Schizosaccharomyces pombe: one gene and its partners. The gene in region 2 interacts genetically with the main gene of each other region. Each region holds a gene or a part of one and is shown on either strand. Other genes may lie near its edges.

The links.
Region 1: of byr4 (region 2) and cdc16, extra expression of one rescues a mutant of the other (dosage rescue), as found in Schizosaccharomyces pombe (5 studies listed by BioGRID, with this or other methods).
Region 3: of byr4 (region 2) and mob1, a mutation in one rescues a mutant of the other (synthetic rescue), as found in Schizosaccharomyces pombe (2 studies listed by BioGRID).

Annotation. Positions count from the first base shown.
Region 1 is NC_003424.3:2,746,492-2,751,315, reverse strand, and holds cdc16 (two-component GAP Cdc16), read left to right. Parts: upstream 1-3,159; 5' UTR 3,160-3,306; coding exon 3,307-3,807; exon of another isoform or gene 3,808-3,884; coding exon 3,885-3,975; exon of another isoform or gene 3,976-4,049; coding exon 4,050-4,197; exon of another isoform or gene 4,198-4,384; coding exon 4,385-4,544; 3' UTR 4,545-4,649; downstream 4,650-4,824. Other genes in the region: arc2 (ARP2/3 actin-organizing complex subunit Arc34), read left to right, coding at 345-406, 447-1,338; NuA4 histone acetyltransferase complex subunit Eaf6, read right to left, coding at 1,769-2,152, 2,216-2,248; rps13 (40S ribosomal protein uS15), read left to right, coding at 4,676-4,824. UniProt on the Schizosaccharomyces pombe protein: Has a dual role in the cell cycle. In mitosis, it is involved in maintenance of cdc2 kinase activity. It is subsequently required for regulation of septum formation.
Region 2 is NC_003424.3:959,649-967,852, forward strand, and holds byr4 (two-component GAP Byr4), read right to left. Parts: upstream 5,161-8,204; 5' UTR 4,787-5,160; coding exon 2,789-4,786; 3' UTR 2,666-2,788; downstream 1-2,665. Other genes in the region: poly(A)site selection protein Seb1, read left to right, coding at 413-769, 960-2,465; hem13 (coproporphyrinogen III oxidase), read left to right, coding at 6,782-7,720. UniProt on the Schizosaccharomyces pombe protein: Has an essential role in ensuring cytokinesis and septation occur only once during mitosis. It does so by interacting with the ras1 signaling pathways, thereby suppressing them.
Region 3 is NC_003423.3:466,489-473,972, forward strand, and holds mob1 (Sid2-Mob1 kinase complex regulatory subunit Mob1), read right to left. Parts: upstream 3,676-7,484; 5' UTR 3,638-3,675; coding exon 3,463-3,637; intron 3,406-3,462; coding exon 3,006-3,405; intron 2,958-3,005; coding exon 2,900-2,957; downstream 1-2,899. Other genes in the region: homocysteine synthase Met17, read left to right, coding at 1-434; SPOM_SPBC428.12C (peptidyl-prolyl cis-trans isomerase E), read right to left, coding at 1,646-1,710, 1,772-1,930, 2,026-2,121, 2,311-2,341; mlg1 (1-acylglycerol-3-phosphate acyltransferase), read left to right, coding at 4,164-5,216; SPOM_SPBC428.15 (Obg-like ATPase), read left to right, coding at 5,722-6,951; Rheb GTPase Rhb1, read right to left, coding at 7,339-7,484. UniProt on the Schizosaccharomyces pombe protein: Has a role in promoting the onset of septum formation during the latter stages of mitosis.

The DNA of each region.
Region 1 (4,824 bases), 1.8 Mb from region 2:
TATTGGTACACTTCGAATTAGATAAAGTAATTAGATTCAGAACTCCTAATATACTGATTAATTTTTTTTTTTTTTTTTTAATTTCTAACATTTTAGATAAAATATTCAGTATATCCATAGACGGTAAAATAGTAGAAGTTTACCTAAGAAGCAAAAGGTAATCTAGAACAAAGAATGAGAACAAAAAGATTGTTAGTTCTTTAAAAATATATATTGAGTTCATGGTTTTAATATGATCTGTTGTTTTCTTACATGTTTGCAGATGCCTCAGTATAAGGATTTATAACACTATATGAACCTGAGTAATAAGAATTCCCGGGTCCGTCACACGTTAACCATCAACCATGCTCTCATTAGATTATAACAATATATTCATTTACGAGTTACTGACAGAAAGGTTTTCAAGGTATGTGAAACAAACAATAAAGAATTTCACTAATTTATAGCGAAAACCCGTCGTCGATTGATCAAGTGGTAACTGATTTTGATGGCGTCACGTTCCACATTTCAACTCCTGAGGAAAAGACGAAAATCTTGATCAGTCTGTCTATGAAATGCTATCCTGAGCTTGTTAATTACGGTACTCTGGATTTACTGAAACAGATTTACGGTGCTTATGTGCATGAACCTGAAATGGGATACAACTTCAGTATTCTTATAGACTTACAACAACTTCCCGCTACCGATGAGGAAAAAGAACAATTAGCTATGTCTATTTCTATGTTAAAAAGAAACGTTTTAGCTGCTCCCTTCCACCGTGCATTCACCAAACAAGCCGAACTAGCTGATTTGGCTCGTAAAGACCCGGAAAATGCCCCTATGCTTGACAAGCAAGCCACTTCTCAGGAGCTCATGGCAATTCATTATCGTGATGAAGAAACTATTGTTTTATGGCCTGAGCATGATCGCGTTACAGTCGTCTTTTCAACGAAATTCCGTGAAGAGACTGATCGCATCTTTGGCAAGGTATTCTTGCAGGAATTCGTTGATGCCCGTCGCCGTCCGGCTATTCAAACCGCTCCTCAAGTGCTCTTTTCCTATAGAGATCCACCTTTGGAGATTCGTGATATTCAGGGTATTCAAAAGGGTGATGACTTTGGATTTGTAACATTCGTTTTATTTGAGCGTCATTTTACACCTCAAAATCGTGAAGATTGCATATCTCATATCCAGGTTTTCCGCAACACCCTACACTTTCACATTAAGGCTTCCAAGGCTTACATGCACCAACGTATGCGTAAGCGTGTTGCTGACTTCCAAAAGGTTTTGAACCGGGCCAAGCCCGATGTGGAATTGGAGAGAAAGACAGCTACTGGTAGGTCATTTGTTCGTGCTTAATGTTCCGTCCCATGTTGATCCTTTCTTTCATCGTATCTTCATACGTAGTTATGATCTTTATATATGCTTCATGCTTCCCTCTCCTCGTAACAAACGTGAATTGTTTCTCACCCTTTTTTTCTATTCAAAGCTGGGTTGATTAAATGATGCTAGCGCAAAATACAGGAATATCAATCTTTGATTGTAGATACACACGTTACATAAGAGATGCTTATTTTTTGAAAATGAAAATTGTATTATACAAGTCATAAATAGTAACTGTTCTAAAGGACAAACTTTGAATAGCTAGTTAAGCCGTAATTTTGTAGCGCTATTGCAAAATACTTAGAAGAAGGAGAAAATAATCGCAAATTGATTTGTAAAAGCTCCGAAAAAGGAACTTCCTCATAAAATTTAAAGTATATTCTTTATATCCGTTTTCTGAGTAACATTATAGTTCTCGAAAAGAAGAACGTCTTCTTCCTTCGTGACTATCAGATTCATTTTTTCGTTTTCTTCTTCGACTAGTTTCTGTCGAGTCGTCGAGGTCATAAGCTGGACTACGTGTATGGGGACTCGACAGGGAAGAAAGAGAAAACAGTCTGTCTGATTCCGAATAGTCTGCACGACGGCGGAGGTTTGATGCATTGTTTTTTAAAAGACCTTCGAATCCACGAATAATGTTGCCAGTACCCGATGTTTTTTCTAAGTAACTGCCTTCCAGCCTATAGATAGAGTCCTCGAGACCTATTAACGAAGTTTCCAACAATTGTCGCTTTTCAATCATTTCATGAAGCTCCTTTTTGCACTGTTCATAATAGGAAACATTCACGGGCTGTTAAGTTTTAGAATTATTAGTAAACAAAATAAATAAATATTATCTTTTAATGCAACGTACTGGCTCGCTAGGCGTCGAATTGGGAGTCGACATTTTCACTTTTAATTTAGAGAATGTACAAATTTGATGAACAAAATAAAAAATGATCGGCTTGAAGCAATCAAAAACTTTTATTATTTGTAAATAATGTAGCACTGTTATAGTAACTTTCTAATGGCTCGCAAACCATAAGCAGTCAGTTGCGCGACGATCTAGTATTGTTGGTAGTAGTGACCAAGTATCAATCGATGAACCAACGAATTCCGAGATCTTAAGAGTTAACAAGACACATAATAGTTTAAATATATTTTATTGTTAAAGTAAATTTATATTTCTTTTTACTGACTACGGTCATTATGCAAGGCTAAAAACAGAATAGGCTTAATAACTATTGAGCAAATCTGAATTTTGCATTAATCGGTTCAGAAGTGTTTTTTATTACATGCAGTATCGAAATTCTATATAAATATGATAACGGATATCACGACGTTTAATCGAACATTTACAAAGTACAATGATGCTTCCTCAAGGACGATTAGAGAGATACTTAGTATTATGTATTTTTTTAAAAAAAAAAGATAATATAATCAAAGAGCTCGTCTCAATTGACAGGCATTCTGTTTACTGGTTAGATGTTCAGCACTGTAATAACAATCTTTCTAATTTTTTTCTTCTCAAGATAGCTACAGTTTTTATTTTATAATACTAATTGAAAACCGAAAATAATAAAAATCTTTGCTGGTGGAAATCTTCTGGCACTGTAAGGACTAAGACAACTAACTCTCTAATTGCTGGCATAAATATGTAGAATTTTGAAAGTCAAACTGTAATGTTCTATATTAAAACAAGATTAATAAAAATTTCGAAAGCTATTTCTAAATGAGTCAGCTTTGTAAATTATTAAAGCCATCAACCTATTGAAAGGCCAATAGTGTACTATACCTACTTACAGTTGTATCTTCGTTGTAAACCAACCTTCACTGTTTCCTCATTATCCTCTTATTTTCCATTCAATTGCATTTTATTAATTCATTTTTGCTTATATTTATGTTTTGAATTCATACTGGTCCTCATTTTAGTTTTCTTCAAATTGTATAGGCTGGTTTCTAAGGATGCCGAGTATTGACTGCAAGCGACTTCAAAAGTTAGCGCCCAAATCACCAGAAAACCAATCGAAATGTATCTCTAGGCTTCGTTACATGGTCATGCTTGATCAAGTTGAGTCGGATGAAGGTGGGAATTCAAGCACCAGGCCATATGTTTGGGCAGTTCTTTTGAATGCCCCCCCACGGAACGCTGACGAATACATACGATATGTTCGCCAAGGACCGTCTCCTATGGCACAAAAGATTCAAAATGATGTTTCAAGAACCCTGGTCGTAGAATCTCAGTTTCATTCTCGTGTGTCTCAATCGTCTCTTTCACGTTTATTAAATGCTTATGTCTGGAAACGAGGTGCTTTATATGTTCAAGGTATGAATGTGTTAGCATCACCTTTTTTGTATGCTTGTAAAAGCGAAAACCAAGCTTTTCAGTTCTTTGACCGTCTGCTACAAAATGAATGCCCTCTATATGTCCTCCCAAACATTGATGGTGTTCATCGCGGCGCAAAGGTAAGTAACTGTTTATTTATTGTTTTAATGCTCCTATTTATTAATCTATTATTGTCAATTTACTAACTCAATTACAGTTATTGGATAAATGCCTTGAAGTCCTTGACCATCGTTTGTACACGTATCTTTTATCCAAAGGGCTTACCGCAAAAATTTACGCTTTACCATGTAAGTGAATAGCGAATTTATTTGTCGTTTTGTGAAAAGAATTAATAGGTATTAACTTTACTTTTCACATATAGCTATACTTACTTTGAGTGCTTGTACTGCCCCATTATCCGAAGCTCTTACCATATGGGATTTTTTGTTTGCTTATGGAATACACCTTAATATCCTATGTGTGATTGCACAAATGTTTATTTTCCGAGAGCAGCTCATCGATCATCCAAGGTAAGTATTTTCTCATCACCCTTTCATTATAATGAAGGATTTACAAAAGAGGAGAAAATTATGGAACAATTTTTTTTTTTTTTTTTTTTTTAAACTTTACTTTCATTTGGGTTCATCATATGTCTCTTCTTTCTCATCCTTTCTCAAATTAAAAAAAATAAATAAATAACGCATGCTAACGATAAAGCCCCATGACCCTATTACGAACGTTTCCTCCTTTAAATGCAAAAAATATAATGAAAATTACCATTCTCCTTATTTCGAAATTACCGCCAGAACTGTATAACTTGTTAGCTCGCCATGCGTGGGATTCTGAAGCTGGTGTTCTGATTGACCGACTAACATAATACTAGGGTAGGGTTTTAATAACAACGAGCAGTCACGCTTTCTATGTGTTTGAAACACAACCTAGAATTTTATTTCTTCAGCACACACCTCTCACTCAAAGTTGCACCTTAACCAAACAAATTAAATCAAAATGGGTCGTATGCATAGCAAAGGAAAGGGTATCGCTTCTTCCGCTTTACCCTACGTTCGCTCTCCCCCTGCTTGGTGCAAGGCTGATGCCGACTCCGTTGTCGAGCAAATTCTTAAGTTCTCCAAGAAGGGTATGTCCCCTTCTCAAAT
Region 2 (8,204 bases):
AGGCTGACAAACTTGTTACCAGAAGGATCATGGGCATGAAATTAACAAAAACGCTACTCATTATTATTATTTTTTTTTACACTAAAAATTTTCATACATTTTTTAAAACAATATGATATATATTTTTTTTTACAAAGTGTGAAACTTTGGAAATTTTTAGCATCTCTTTAAGCACTTTCCTTACCCTTCCGTAATACCAGCTTTATAACCAGCATCACCTACTTCACCACTTAACCGTAACCATAACACAAAAAGTATTTAAGAACAGGGTGACTTCCTTTTTTAACGTCTTTCAAGCACGTGTAAAAAACTAATATAAGAAAAAAAGTAGTAAAATTCTTATAAAGGAAACAGGGTAGTTTTCTAGTTTTGAAAAGTTTTTTTTTTTTTTCATTGTCGTTTTTCTTGTGATATGTCGGGAATCGCTGAATTCGATGGTATTTTAGATTCCCTTGAACATTCCAAGACAGGAATCTCGGGATCAAAAATTTTGAAATTGACTAACTTGTCGATGGAAAATGTTTCAGAGAATGCGCAATTTGTTGCTAGTGTGTATAAGTATGCGAAGCGTGCTCCCGTCACCCATAAATTAGGAGCTTTGTATATTCTAGACTCAATCGTTCGTAGCTTTCAGGACGGTGCTAAAAAGAATAATGAATCTTTTGAAAATCCCGTTGATGCGTCTTTTAGTGGCGGCTGGTGCAAAGCTGCTGAAATAACTGATAGTTTGGTCGCAGATGCTATACAGCATGCGCCATCTGCTCATTTGGTATGTGTAGCTGAAGTTTTTCAAGGTTGACTACGGATAAGATCCCGTATGGATAATCGTATGCTCTCTCTGCTTCTGTATCAGCGAGACACTGTATGAGAGAGGTATTTTTTCCTTGTAATACAGTATCATTCTCTTTGAGAAGTCTTTTAACATTATTGGACTAATTTGTAACTAACTAAGCATGTAGCCTAAAATATTAAAGCTTTGTGATATTTGGGAGAAGGCTTCAACATTTCCTCCCGAGAAGCTAGAATCGCTTCGTTCAAAGCTGAAAGATGCAATGGCAAGTACGGAACCGGTTAGTGTAGATTCTGCTGCTGCTCCATCACAGTCTACTAATCCCGAGGGGAATGGTGGTTCTGTTGGTAGTCAAGCAGCCGCCCCCACTTCTCGTCCTGTCGAAAACGATGCTGCTTCTATTCTAGAGGCATTGGCTGCTTTCGCTCAAAAGGCGCCCGTCCCTAGTGCTGCCGAAGAATCAGTTAGCACTCCACCGCAGCCTGCCGTCGCACCATCCGTTTCTGCTGTCGTCCCTAACCTACCTGTTCATCCAGCTACCGCCATTAATGCACAGTCTCAGTCAGGCAATCCATTATCAAACCCTCTATTCCAACCTTCAAATGTACCACAGTCTATTCCCTCTGGTCCCATGGGGATGAAGACAGGATCGGTCAATGATACCCAGAGTCAACAGATCACTCTCATGAATGTATTGGCTTCTCAGAATGTACCACCTGCACAAATCGATAGCATCATGAAAGCTGCTTTTCCCAACTATAACGCTCCATTCCAGCCGGCTGGTGTCGGCAGTGTTCCTTTGCCAGCTCCTACCTCTTCCCAATCCTTAAGACTCGGCTCCTTACATCGTTCTCGTAGCCCTAGTCCTCGTAGTGGTCGCCCTCGTCGTAGCCCTAGTCCTTCTCATTTATCCATTCCTTCTACTTTGCCTCCTGCAGATGGTGTGCCAAAACCTACCCCTGATGGATTTCCTCGCCGATTTGAGCGTGACCCAACCATTCCACCTGATTCTATTAAGGTATACAGCCGTACTCTTTTCCTTGGTGGTATTACTCGTTCTGTGCGAGAACCTGTTCTTCGATCTATGTTTGAACGATTTGGGTCTGTACAAAGTTTAATTTTAAATCATAATTACAGACACGGGTTCTTGAAAATGTTTCGTCGTGATGCTGCAGAGAAAGCTCAAGTAGCGATGGAAAATGTCCCTTTTGCTGATACTACTATTCGTACTAAATGGGGTGTAGGATTTGGACCTCGAGAGTGCTCTGACTTTTCCACAGGAATCAGCGTTATCCCAATCCGTTTGTTGACGGATGCCGATCGTACCTGGCTTGTAACTGCAGAATATGGCGGCACGGGTGGCCTTCCGATTACTCCTGGTATCGCTTTGGATGAACCTGATATTGAAATTGGATTAGGAATAAGTTCTAAGGCAATTAGTAAAAGAGGAAAAGATTTTGCTATGCGTCGTGATGAGCGATTCCGGGGTCGTAAACCATATAGGGGAGGTCCACCCATTCACCATGGTGAAAGGCATTTTGATTCAGGAAATGACTGGCATGGTAATCCTAGTACCGTTCCTCCCCCTACCAACCCATATAATCCCGGCTATCCATATATGGATCCTAATTACTCTTCTGGGTATGTCTCACAACCTCCTTGGCAACCCCAATAATGTGTTAAAAGACGCTTACAAGTATTATAATGATGGCAAAAATGGTTTCTATATTACAGACGGTATTTAAGGGTATAATGTATTCGGTCCAAATTTAATTGATTATTTTCTTTGTATTGTCTTGTTCAAACAATCTAGTTTGTCTGGGTGTCACATTAGTATTACATTTGTATCATTGTTGTACATCTTATACATCTATTTGCAAACAAAATGAAAAATCTTCGAAGTGTATTAAGCTATGTACAAAAAGATCAAATCTGCGATAAACAAAAGCATTCGTATAATTATATATAAACATTCGCAAGGTAAAGACAAAACCTTGTTTATTGTTCGGCATTAAGTATATTATAAAGCTCCCATAGTCGTGACCTGTCATCGTTTTTAAATGAAAAAAACCAGCCATCAATTCTCTTTCGCCATTGAATATCTTCGCTAAATTGCTTTTTTTCAAACTCTGGGCCGACATCGTATATTTCACTCATATCTGGAAAATTGATTATTGAGTTTATGCTACCATTAAAGCTACCTGAATTTTCGTTCAAGTACTGCGAGGTGGAGTCTGTATCCTCAAGATCATCAAACCCGCTAAAGGGATCTTCCGCTTCTTGACCAGAAATCGAATTATCAATCCATCGTAACCTTGTAGGGTCATATACCATATTTCCGACAACCTGGATTCCTTTTTTTGTAGAAATGTTGGAAATTAATGCTGGACGGCTAGGCGAGATAGGGGTATCAAAATCTCTAATTGCATAATCGTTTCCTTCCCAGCAATGTTTTGTGGGATTATATCGCATTTTTCCAACAATTTTTGGGGTTCTAGGGGAATTTAAATTTTGTATTAAAGTAGGTGCCTTTTTATGGTGTCTGCGTTTTTCTTTGACGCTCAATTGATCATTGGAAAGCGATTCTTTTGTTAACTCTTTAGAAGGGGCGGCATGAGTTTTGTGTTGCCTTTGAGACCGAATATGCTCATTTTTTGCTGAATTAGTTATATTATTTAAATTATTCTCATGTTTCGAAGTAGATCTAGGGGTAGTATGTGAATGCCATTCTTGAGTTGAACCTGCGTGTTTACTTTTAGGCGTTCCGGAAACTTTGGTAGTTTGCTTTTTTCTCAATTTAAGCTCAAATTCATAATCAACTGGTAATTCATCTAAAGTATCAAGTTCTGTACCATCTCCGTAAGTCTTGCAATTTTTAGGCTTTGTTCTGTATTTAGAATTACTTGCAACTGTCTTCAAAGCGTCCAAATCCATCAAACCCATCGAATTTTTCGAATGATAGATCTTCAAATTCGAGGGAGTCCATGTGGAGCTTATAGAAGAATTTCCCTTCACGGGAGAAGAATGTTTACTCGAAGCCTTCAACGTTTCTGGATAATGAGAAGACGTATCCCTTTTCGAAAGTGTTTTCGAAGAATACTTTAGGTTTGGGTTATCAGAATGAGGGTTTTCATTAGCGAGTGAAGGAAATATGTCTTTACAAAGGGGATAATATTTTGCATCCTGATGCACATTAGGTTGATAAGAAATTGTGGAGGAAATATAAGGATGCTTTTGGTTGATGGTATTTGGAGATCGAATCTTTTTCCGAAAGATCGATTCTGTTTCGTTATTAAAGTCAATATCAAAATCATCCCAAAAGCCGTCGTCATTATGCGCAGAGGAAGGCGTACGAAGCGAAGACTGTTCTACGCTGGAAAAGGAAGCTTTTGGATCCATCCTATTTTGTTTTCTGTGCAAAATACTGTTTAGGTCGGTATCTGGGTCTATTTCAAAATCATCTTCAAATGAAGAAAAGCCTTCCGATTCACAATAAGGGGAGTCCGAAACACTGGGATACCGAGCATCATTTTCACTTGAAAGATATGTTTTCTTAAGAGTATCACTAGAGAATGGAATTGGAGGTCTTTGAGAAGCAGTTTCAGATGCTCTAATAGTATTGAATTCATCAACATCGGCATCTTGGTATTTATTGGGACGAAGTGTATTAAACTCATTATTACCTTCTTCACCTTCTTCATCGAACGAAAAATCATCTTCATAGCCTTCTACATTGGAAGAAATTCGGTTCTTGTTGGAAGACAGTTCATGGTTTAAATTATGTACTTGTTGATTCCATTGTTCGACACGAGAATGAGCGCTTGGTACATCAGAAATTGAAAGGCTATTAAGACGACTAATAGAGTCGTCAAACGAGAACCCATCATCCACACTCGTACTAGCACTAGTGGTAGCTATGGATTGAGTAAATAGGCTAGCATTATCGACGTCGGAAGCAAAATCAGGATCATCGTCCCAGCATTCAACTTCAGTCATTCAATCAAAATAAACGTATACTAAAACGGCTTTGCTAAGAAAAGAAATTGGATGCAAAACGCATAGAATGATTACTAACCGTATTCACCCAAAACTGAAAACCCTAAATTTGATTTTCAAAGAAAAAGAAAGTGAGAGAGAAAAAGGATGGTCACTAATTTTGCAAAGAAGTAACCACTGTAAATATTTACGCTTTCAAACCCAGCTTCGAGAAGTAATAAGTTATGAACAGCAATTCAAAAGGACTTCAGGAATATGATTATGATGATGCTTTCAGAGATACAATGAAATTTTGTTTTGTATAGAAAGCAAAAAAAAGAATTTAACTTATTTCAATGACAAAATCAAGGAATCTGGGTTAGCGGTATATTGTTGAAAGAGACGGAGGTTGAGCTAGAGGTATAAGTGTAAACACCAACTTGATCAATTTACGTACTTTGGTTTCAGTACTTTACGAGAAATCAATTTTTAATAAGGTGAAAAATAAAGCATCTACTATTTGCTTGTGTAAACCTAAAAAAAAAATAGTTTTTTTTGGTATCTTTCAGTCATATTTATTTTTGCTAGATTAATCATAGTAAAATACTTAACCATATGTGATTGCCAAAATGCATAGCTGCACCTCACCTTAAAAAAATCTAGGTAATCTAATTAGCATGCAACTACGAGTTAATGTTTTTTAAAAAGTAGATAAATTACAACGAAGGTTAGTAGGTGAAGCAATAAATAGTATGTTTAATCGTCACTCGTATTAGCAAATTCATTCGTCTTAGAATTTTATTTTCCTCCACGAAAATATATATATTTTTCTTTGAACGTTTAAATTATTATAAACAATTGCTTTCTCTGAAATTTATGCCCATTTACAATTTAATTCTGTTTATGGAATCTACATATTCGTTCAAGTATATATGAAATACATTTTAAGGAATCTTTTTTTATTAGATTCTTCGTATAATTTCTAAAATACATACTATTTTCATATACGAGTTTAGATAAATTACAAAAAAAAAAAAAAAAAAAAACGATTAAACTATAGGTTAAAAAGTAAATCTATTAGTTTATAACAAAAGAAACGTCTTTGTTTTATTTTAGTTTATTTTTTTACATCTAAAAAGTTATTGAAATCAACAATGGTAAAGTTGAACAAATTAACTCTTCAATTCATAGGTATGAGAAACCGTTCTTCATTAGTAAATCCAAGTATGAAACATAATCATGTTTTTACCCCTATGCGATCGCGCTATTCATATTTTTCCTAAATTATTTTTAGCATCAATTCTGTCTATAGTTTCATATAATTTCAGTGATTTAATCATGTAATTATTCATGTAAAGTTCATAAAAAATATAGGTTGATGATCTTATTAATGTTTGTACTTAAGAAATGGTAAATCGAACAAGTTGAAAAAGTAAGCATGGCATCTGTCTTATACTCTTGTGCTTTTCTGTAAACCAAGCAGTTAAAAACATTATTGCTTGCTAGTAGCGAAGCAACTTACAAACATTTCTCATAGACGAGAAGTAACTCCATTTTTCAGATAGTCTAATAATAAGTCAAAGAAAAGGATGTTTAACATCATCCTAATCAAATTCATATAAAACTAATAATTGTTTTCCATCGAAGGAATCTATATATCGCACTACAAGGTGCAGTAACGAAACACTCAGATCGTGGAATCCGGATTGTGTTCTTAACCTTACGAGAAAAACGAGCCATTACGGTCGTGACTGTCCAGAAATCGTTCGATTTTTAAATATCTGAATTTAGTCTATTTTTTGATATAAATCCCCCTAATCCCATTCGCTGCTGGCACAGTGTTTTTGTGAAAACAAAACAACCAAGTTGTAAATTTAATTCGCAAGTTGAACAGTGTTTTGATTCTTCACTTGTGTTAATACCAATTCATCCAATCGGTTGTATCATATCTTAAATACCATTTTGGTTACTTTTTTTTTTGGACATTTTGAGCAAATCCGTAAAGTAAATAAAAAGATGTCTGACATTACCGTTGAGCCTATTGGCAAGCAGATGGAGAAGCTTATTCTCGATGTTCAGCAAGAAATTGTTGCTGGTCTCGAAGCTGTCGATGGACAAAAATTCTTCCAAGACAAGTGGACCAAGGGAGAAGGTGGTTATGGTATCAGTTGTGTTATTCAAGATGGCAACGTTTTTGAAAAGGGTGGTGTCAACACAAGTATTGTTCAAGGAAAATTGAATCAAGACGCTGTCCAAAGAATGCGTGCTAATCATGAAGGTATTGATCGTACTGCCAAAGAGCTTCCATTCTTTGCTGCTGGTATCAGTATGGTTATTCACCCTCGCAACCCCATGGCCCCTACTACTCACTTGAACTATCGTTACTTTGAACTTGTAAACAGTGATGGTAAGAAGATTTGGTGGTTTGGTGGTGGAGCCGATTTGACTCCTAGCATTCTCTTTGAAGAAGATGGCAAGCATTTCCACAAATTGCATAAAGAAGCTTGCGATCGCCATGACCCCACTTTCTATCCTCGCTTCAAGAAATGGGCTGATGAATACTTCCTCATCAAGCACAGAAAGGAGACTCGTGGCATTGGCGGTATTTTCTTTGATGATCTTTCTGAGAAAGATCCTCAAGAGTTATTTGCTTTCGTCAAGGATTGTGCCCATACCTTCCTTCCTGCCTATGTCCCTATTATGGAAAAGAGAAAGAACATGGAATTCACTGAAGATGATAAGGAATTCCAACTCATTCGTCGTGGATACTATGCCGAGTTTAACGTTATGTATGACAGAGGTACTTGGTTTGGTCTTCAAGCTCCTGAACCCCGTGTTGAATCTATTCTTATGACCCTTCCATTACATGCTTCCTGGCGTTACAAGTATGAGCCTAAACAAGAGCGTCACAAGGCTCTCCTTAAAGTAACGCATACCCCTATTGAATGGTGCTAGAAAGATTCACAAAAATGACTTTTACTTCAGCATTTAATGAACATCACAATTTTTGGTAATAGCTTTATTCTTTCGTTTGTTTTTAAACTATGCCATGTTACACTAACTCATGTTAAATTTTCTATCATGCCTTTTTTGCTCTTCATTATTTGGAATTCTTAACTGTTTGAATTTGCGATTTTGAATCCCTTTTCTAAGCTAATGAAACAATATTTTACCCTTTAAAAATCCGTATCTTTTATTGAGTAGTGTTTTATAAAGAGTTTTAAAGTAAAGTACAGTACCTATTTGGCTTGAGATCTAATTTCACAATATAAATTTCAACTGATCTGCACTTTCATTAACTTAATTTCAATGTATTTTTCTTTAAAATAATACGAATAAAAAAAAAGAAGATGAAGGTAAAATGTGTGTGTCTTGTCTTTATGATAAAACGACGTCGATCCCCAACGGATTGAGATAGACAAGTCATAAAACGTTAGCA
Region 3 (7,484 bases), on a different chromosome or scaffold from region 2:
TTCTTCAAGGTCTTGAAACGCTTTCTCTTCGTATGGAGCGTCACGTTCAAAATGCATTTGCTCTTGCAAAATATTTGGAAAAGCACCCCAAGGTTAACTGGGTTTCTTACCCTGGTCTTGAATCTCACGTCTCTCACAAACTTGCCAAGAAGTACTTGAAAAATGGTTACGGCGCCGTTCTCAGCTTTGGCGCTAAAGGTGGCCCTGATCAAAGTCGTAAGGTAGTCAATGCCTTAAAGCTTGCTAGTCAGTTGGCCAATGTTGGTGATGCCAAAACTTTGGTTATCGCTCCTGCCTATACCACTCATTTACAATTAACTGATGAGGAGCAAATTTCTGCCGGTGTCACTAAGGATCTTATTCGTGTGGCCGTCGGTATTGAGCACATCGATGATATTATCGCCGACTTTGCTCAAGCTTTGGAAGTTGCCTAAAAAGCCCTCATTGTATATCTTTTTATTTACCTGTAAAATACATAGTAATGTTTCACAAATATCGATTGAGTTTTTGTATGTTTTCCCACATCTGCTCAAAATATTTCTCTCTTTTATCCATTATAATACTTTTAATGTGTTCTCTTCAACAGAAAGCTAGATATATTTATCATACCCGACTTTACATTTCACACTTCAGTTTACGCTATGAAATAAATCATTTTTCGGTTTGATCTCTTGGTAATTTAGATTCAGATTCACAAGTAATAAACAATGACTATTTATAACACTTGTGCACTACTAATGGCTAACAGGTCTATAAAACAAGGAAAGCGTAACATATTATATAACAAAATTTACGTTATCTTGATCTCTGCCTAGCAAAAGATTACTGAATGCTTTTAGCTCCTTATTTCGGTAAGCACATTATTACTATTAGCAGAAATTCACTGGTGCTTTCATTAATAAAAAATACACAAAATCATATAAAATTAATTTTACAAAAAATAAAAAACCACCAAATTGCTAAAGACATACATTGTAAACATATGAGTTATTGCAATAAGTTGGTTTCCAAATATTCCCAAAACTCTTAACGAGAGTTGGAGCGGTCAGGGTAATAGTTTTCAACTAGCAATAACGCCATCTAGGAAAAGTTCCTCACTGATAAGCGTAATACCCGTGCACAAAGATGGGGAATGGTAAACTCTTGTACATCCATTTATAGTAAAATTGAGCAGTCACAACAGGTCACAAAACCCTACCCTATTACTTTAACATAACGTTACGGAATATACGGGCTTAAATTCCCTTAGTGCACTATGAAATGATATTTTGAGTATGAGAGTTTTAAAGCGCAAAGGGGAAGATTTGCAAAACTGATATATGTATAGGTATGTATATTCATTCAATAACTATGAATTCTTGGATAATAAAGAAATCAATGCTAAAGTAATGTTGAAGCGTCAATCGTAAATACCAAGCCTTGCTTTCCAAAAAGGCTTAAATGCATAGCAATTCCATTAACAAAAGATGAATGGGTGTCGGTTCGAAATGTAAAGAATAAAAATGATAAAAAAGGAGGGAGGATGAGGTATTCTCTTTAAAAATATAGTACTTAAAAGGAGACAATTCACCTATAGTCACTCGCATGCCCAATTTTGCTTTATTATAAGGTGAGGCAATTACAAAGAAAACAATATCTTACAAAATTAAGAGGTAGGAGTAGAAGTCGATTTGAAAGTTTGAAAATCCGCTGACTCAGGATGCAACATTGCTACGTAAATTAGTAAAGAGCATAAAAAATTGAAAGCCTCTTCAGCAGCTATTTTTCTTACCTATATCTGGAACTGCTGTCTCTTCAGCTGATAACGCAAAATTTGCAGGCGATACTCTGATACAACGATCACAGAGAATAGAATAGTTCATATTTTCCATAGCTTCTTTAGCGTCTTCTGGTTCATCAAATTCTACAAACGCGTAGGAACGGTCCACAGCTAGAAAGTTAGCTAAACTTTTAAAATGTTTGAGCATTTTCATGGCATCAAAACTAGTTGTTTACCAACATGACACCAATACATGACTACTTTACCTTTTTCTTTACGATGTAATGCAACTGAGATAATCTCTCCAAACGGAATGAAAGCATTGTATAAAAGAGATTCTGTTACAGATGGAGCCAAGTTACCTAAAAAGAAAGTTAGCAAACAGATCTTTGAAAACAACAATCTTTTAAAACGAAGTATCGCCGTCATATAATATTCAACAAGTTAAATCATAACCTCAAACATTTATCGTAGATAAATGGCCATATGAGGAAGCGGTATCATGAAACTCATAGATATATCATAACAACGATGAATTCATTGATCCTTACCCACATGGACGGTTGCTTTCCTTCTTTCCATCCTCAGATCATCAAAACTAAAAAAAAAAAATAAGATGAAAAGCAAAAAGACTAAAATAATAGGGAATTAAAAAGTTCAGATTATTTCGCACATTTACTATCTCACATCCACCACCATTCAGTAAGTAGTTTCTCAAATAACGATGCAGTCTTTTTCGGTATTTAACAGAAACCTGAAATAAAGATTCCAGAGACATATGATACATGAAATGTTATAAATAAAATGAATTGTATGAAGATAGACACTTTAGAGAATGCGAGAATATTTTGCACAAGTAGCCTATGCAAAGGCGATATGCCACACTTTTCAAAAGTAGTTAAAAGAATGCAGTGTCATAAGAAAAAAGTGGAGGAGTAGAAAGAGTAATTTTAGCAACTATTCTTTATGGTAATCACTCAAGTGAATGATTGAAATGAAAAGAAGAAATTTTCCATAAAAAATTGTGCTAAGGTCTGGATAAAATGGTAATGGTAGGGATAAAATAAAACATTAAATTGGTAAGTTTGGGAACCGAGTTTACCTCCCATTTCCTGTTCCTGAATAACTACAAAACTGTTCTTAAACCATGCTATCTACCAAGTCTTGCATTGGTGCATATTCCTTGTTATCCATAAGGCTGAAATTTGTTGTTAACATCTTTAAGTAAGTAAATTGAAACACATACCCAAATTCCCTACAGAAAAATACAAAGTGTTTAAATGATGTATTCAGATAGCTTTCAAGCTCCATTGCTACCATTACGTGAAAGTGGGAACAGTAAATATGAGCATAAATGCGAAACAACCTTCGAAATATTTGCTGAATCACTTTGCGAAAATTCTTTGGGAATTCAACACCAATCTCAGTGGGGAAGAGCTTCTTGTCATCCAACTTTTCTTGAGTCCAATCCAACAGATTGTTAATATAGTCGGGAGCACTCATGCGAGTGGGTTTGGTGTATATTTTATCATCCTGCCAGTAATATTCATAACTTGGTCCAGCATTCATTTGAGGACAGGAAGCCGCCGTACAAAATTCAGTGATTGTACCATACAACATATTAATTTGTGTATAAAAATCCATTGCTAGAAGTATTCAATTAATAAAAGTTCTTGAAGTGTCAATTTTATATCTTAGCTTACTGTTCATAGCAATCCATTCATTCAAATCTTCTCCCTTGGGCAGTTTTACTGCTTCCATCAAAGAGCCAGATCCCAGCGTTGCTTCAGCATATTGCCGTAGTTGATAATGCTTCGTTCCCGCTTCAGTCTTCCTTACACGGAATGTCTTCGCTGTCTTATTACTAAATCCAAACATGAAAGAAAATGCAAAAAAGTTGGTATGAGTTGGGTTCTGGTAGGCTTGGTTTGTGCCAACCTTCCACTCATCGTCCCTTCCTCGTAAACAAACGTGGTCATTCTACCGTTCAACTTTCAAGACCATCCAGCCAACCAATATTAAGCGCAAATTAATTACTGGAATACCTATCATATTCATACGACCGTATGTTTAGGTCCGAGCACTTTTACAAATTGACAACGTACGATCGCTACTTCTTTACCCACTGCCTATAACCACTGACATTCCCTGAATTACACTTTGGTGCTAAACGTGCGGCTAAGAAATTAAAAAGAAAGCAGAGAGCTTTTAATTTTCTTTTTGGGATTTTTTTTGCTCAAATTGGTGTCTATTTAGTGTTCGTGTACGACTTTTACTGTGCGGTGAGAAACGCGAAAGGGCATCACTAAAACCGACTTTGCTAACTTTCTCTGGATTCTATTTAACAGTCTTTTATTTCTTGAGATTTGATTTAGGTTCCTTTAATTCATTTAGGTTTGACAACATGACATGCAGAATTGCGATTCGCAAGTATTCATTCATATTATGTTTGGCTGTTGGTTCAGTTACCATTTATACCTCGGAAGTTATTGGAACTCCTCTGTATTTTGTCAACAAGGAGCTTTATAACAAATATATTGCTTTTACAAAATCATTCGCCGGTATTCTGTTTACCGCTTTGGTCCAGCTTTTTAGTCCGACTCCTGTAACTCTCACCTATGATCCCGAGCTTCGAAATTTGTTTTATTTGGATAGAAATGGTTGCTTGGAAACAATTGCTGCTGAACGCAACATAGTTATCGCAAACCATCAACTTTACTCGGACTGGATGTACGTTTGGTGGTTATCGTACACTGCTAAACAGCATGGTCATGTTTATATTATGTTAAAAAACTCTCTCAAATGGTTGCCAGTTATAGGTTGGGGTATGCAATTGTTTAGATTCATTTTCCTTTCTCGCAAATGGGACAAAGACTACGAGACTATGTCTCGTCATTTCAAGTTCATTCGCAATGTACGTGATTCCGTCAGTCTCATTCTCTTCCCAGAAGGAACCAACTTGGTTGAAAGCACATATCAAAGGAGCAGGGTGTATGCCGATAAAATTGGAGTCAAAATGCCAAAGCATTTAATGCTCCCACGTGTGCGAGGGCTCTTTTATAGTATCAGTCAGCTTCGTGATTCGATGACTTATTTGTACGATTACACATTTTATTTTTCTGATCCCTCTCCTAAGAAATATGCCGCCGATGCTTTCTCTTTACCTAAGCTCTTTTTTGAAGGAGTCCCCATCAAAAGGCTTCATATTCACGTTCGTCGCTTCCCAATTTCGGAAATTCCCACTGAAGAAGATCAGTTTACGGATTGGCTTTATCAAAGATGGTATGAGAAAGATAAACTTATCGATACGCTTCTTGAAACAGGGAATTTTCCGGGCCCTAAGAAATTGCATACGACTGTTCGATTGAAGCACAGACTTGAAATTCTTTCTTTGTTTTCCGTACTTTTCACGTGCATTGTTGCTGGGTTGTTCCTCAAACTATTCATTTCTCACTAGAAAAAACTGTTATTTATACCCATTTCTTTCCATTTCCCTAAACCATATGGTTGAAAAGTTACCCATTTACACTACATAGATTAACTGATTTTCATGAACATTTTTTAACAGATTGCAAACTGGATTTTCAGTGTTAAGGAATTACCGCATACATTGCGGACGATAGTTTTATAGTCATTAGCTTTCTCTTGAGCTTTGAGATTTCGAGATAAATTATTCTGTACACTTTTTCTCCTTACAACCATCCTCTTTGCCTGTAGACGGCCTACAATCTACTGTTTCAAACTATGTCGAAGATAACATAATAACAATAAAATAAATTATGCTAAAAAAAAAATATTATAAATGTGCAAGCAAACAATCCTTTAAATCTTTAGTCCTAAAAGCAGGTATTACGAAACACTCGACCCTTACCACTACTCTAATTCTCAGATTGCAGAGTACGAGTAGGTCCTGGATTTCAGTACCAATTTTTCTCACATACTTCTTCTAAGGTTTCCAAATAATGGGTAGAGACATTTTAATTGGATTTGTTGGCAAGCCCTCCAGTGGTAAATCTACGATGCTGAATGCGTTGACAGATGCCACTGCTAAAACTGGTAATTTCCCTTTTACCACTATTGAGCCAAACCGGGCTATTGGCTATGCTCAAATAGAATGCGCGTGCTCAAGATTTGGACTACAGGACAAATGTAAACCAATTTATGGTGGTTGCAAAAATGGTGTACGTTCAATTCCTATTCAGCTGCTTGATGTAGCTGGTCTTATTCCAGGTGCGCATGCTGGAAAGGGGCTTGGCAATAAATTTTTAGACGATTTACGGCATGCCGATGCTTTGGTCCATGTGGTAGATGTCTCAGGTACTACTGATGCGGAAGGAAAAGTGTGTCGTGGATATGATCCTTCTGTAGATATCGCTTGGTTGTATAAGGAAATAACTGCATGGATCGGAAACAATCTGAGAGAGAAATGGCCTAATATAGTTCGTAGGCATATTGCTACGAAAGCCAATCCTGTCAATACACTACAATCCCAGTTTTCTGGATATGGAAGTACCCCTGCTGTTACAGCTAAAGTCTTAGATTCGCTACATTTAGATACACCTTTGGAGAAATGGGATGATGATACAATTGAAAAAGTGGTTAACAGATTCGTTGATATCAAGTTTCCTACCGTTATTGCTCTTAACAAAATTGATCATCCTGATGCGGATGCAAATATATCTAAAATAGCTAGAAAAGAAGATCCAAATCGACTCGTACTGGCTTCAGCCATATCCGAAGTTTTTCTTCGAAGATTGGCAAAACAGGGGTTTGTTAAGTACGAGGAGGGCTCTGAATTTGTTGATACGCTAGACGATTTTCCTGACTCTGGCTTGAAACCTTTGAGCGAAAATCTTAAAACCCGTATCGCAGACCTCCAAGACATGGTATTATTTCGACACGGTTCAACTGGAGTTTGTAATGTTTTAGCAAAGGCAATGGAACTTTTAAATTTGATTCCAGTTTTTCCCGTTAAAAACGTTCACAATTTTGCAAACTCTCCTAATGAAGGTGTTTTCAGAGATTGCATCTTAGTGAAGCAAGGAACGACTGCTGGACAGGTATCTCAAATGGTATTGGGTGGAGAAGCAATGTCTATTGTGGGTGTAAATGGAAACGTCGGCGAATCTGATGTTATTGTCCCAGGTAAAACGGATATCCTTCACTTTCGATTGCGGAAAGCTGAAGCTTAAGTGATTCATGAAGAAAAGTGGTAAAAGGTCGATTTTGGGAAATATTCAAAATAGTTTTGTATAGATGTTAATAAACAATACTATGTCTAAAAATTAATTTGGTTAGTTTAAAACTTCCGAAGAGCTAACTCAACAAATTACGTCTACAATGTCTGGCTGTACTTTCTCCACTATGTATTACATTGACTAAATTTTAAAACCATAGTTTAGGTACTTGTATATTTGAAATAAAGAGTCGAAATCTTGTAAACCCATGTGTAAAAAAACACGTTTGTGTGCAAAGTATCACCTCATGTAATGTAAGCCCATATCTTGCATTAGCAAAGATAAAATCGTTAATTCAGTTAAAATAAATTAATCCATAATATGATAAATTCAAGCAGAAGCTTAGGCGATAACACAACCCTTTCCATCACCAGGAGGGGAAGGATTTGCTTGTTTTTCAATTTCGCTGATAATTAGCTCGAATGCTCGAGCAACATTTTCGTTATGGCGAGCTGAAGCTTCTGTCCATGCACATTTCCATTCATTGG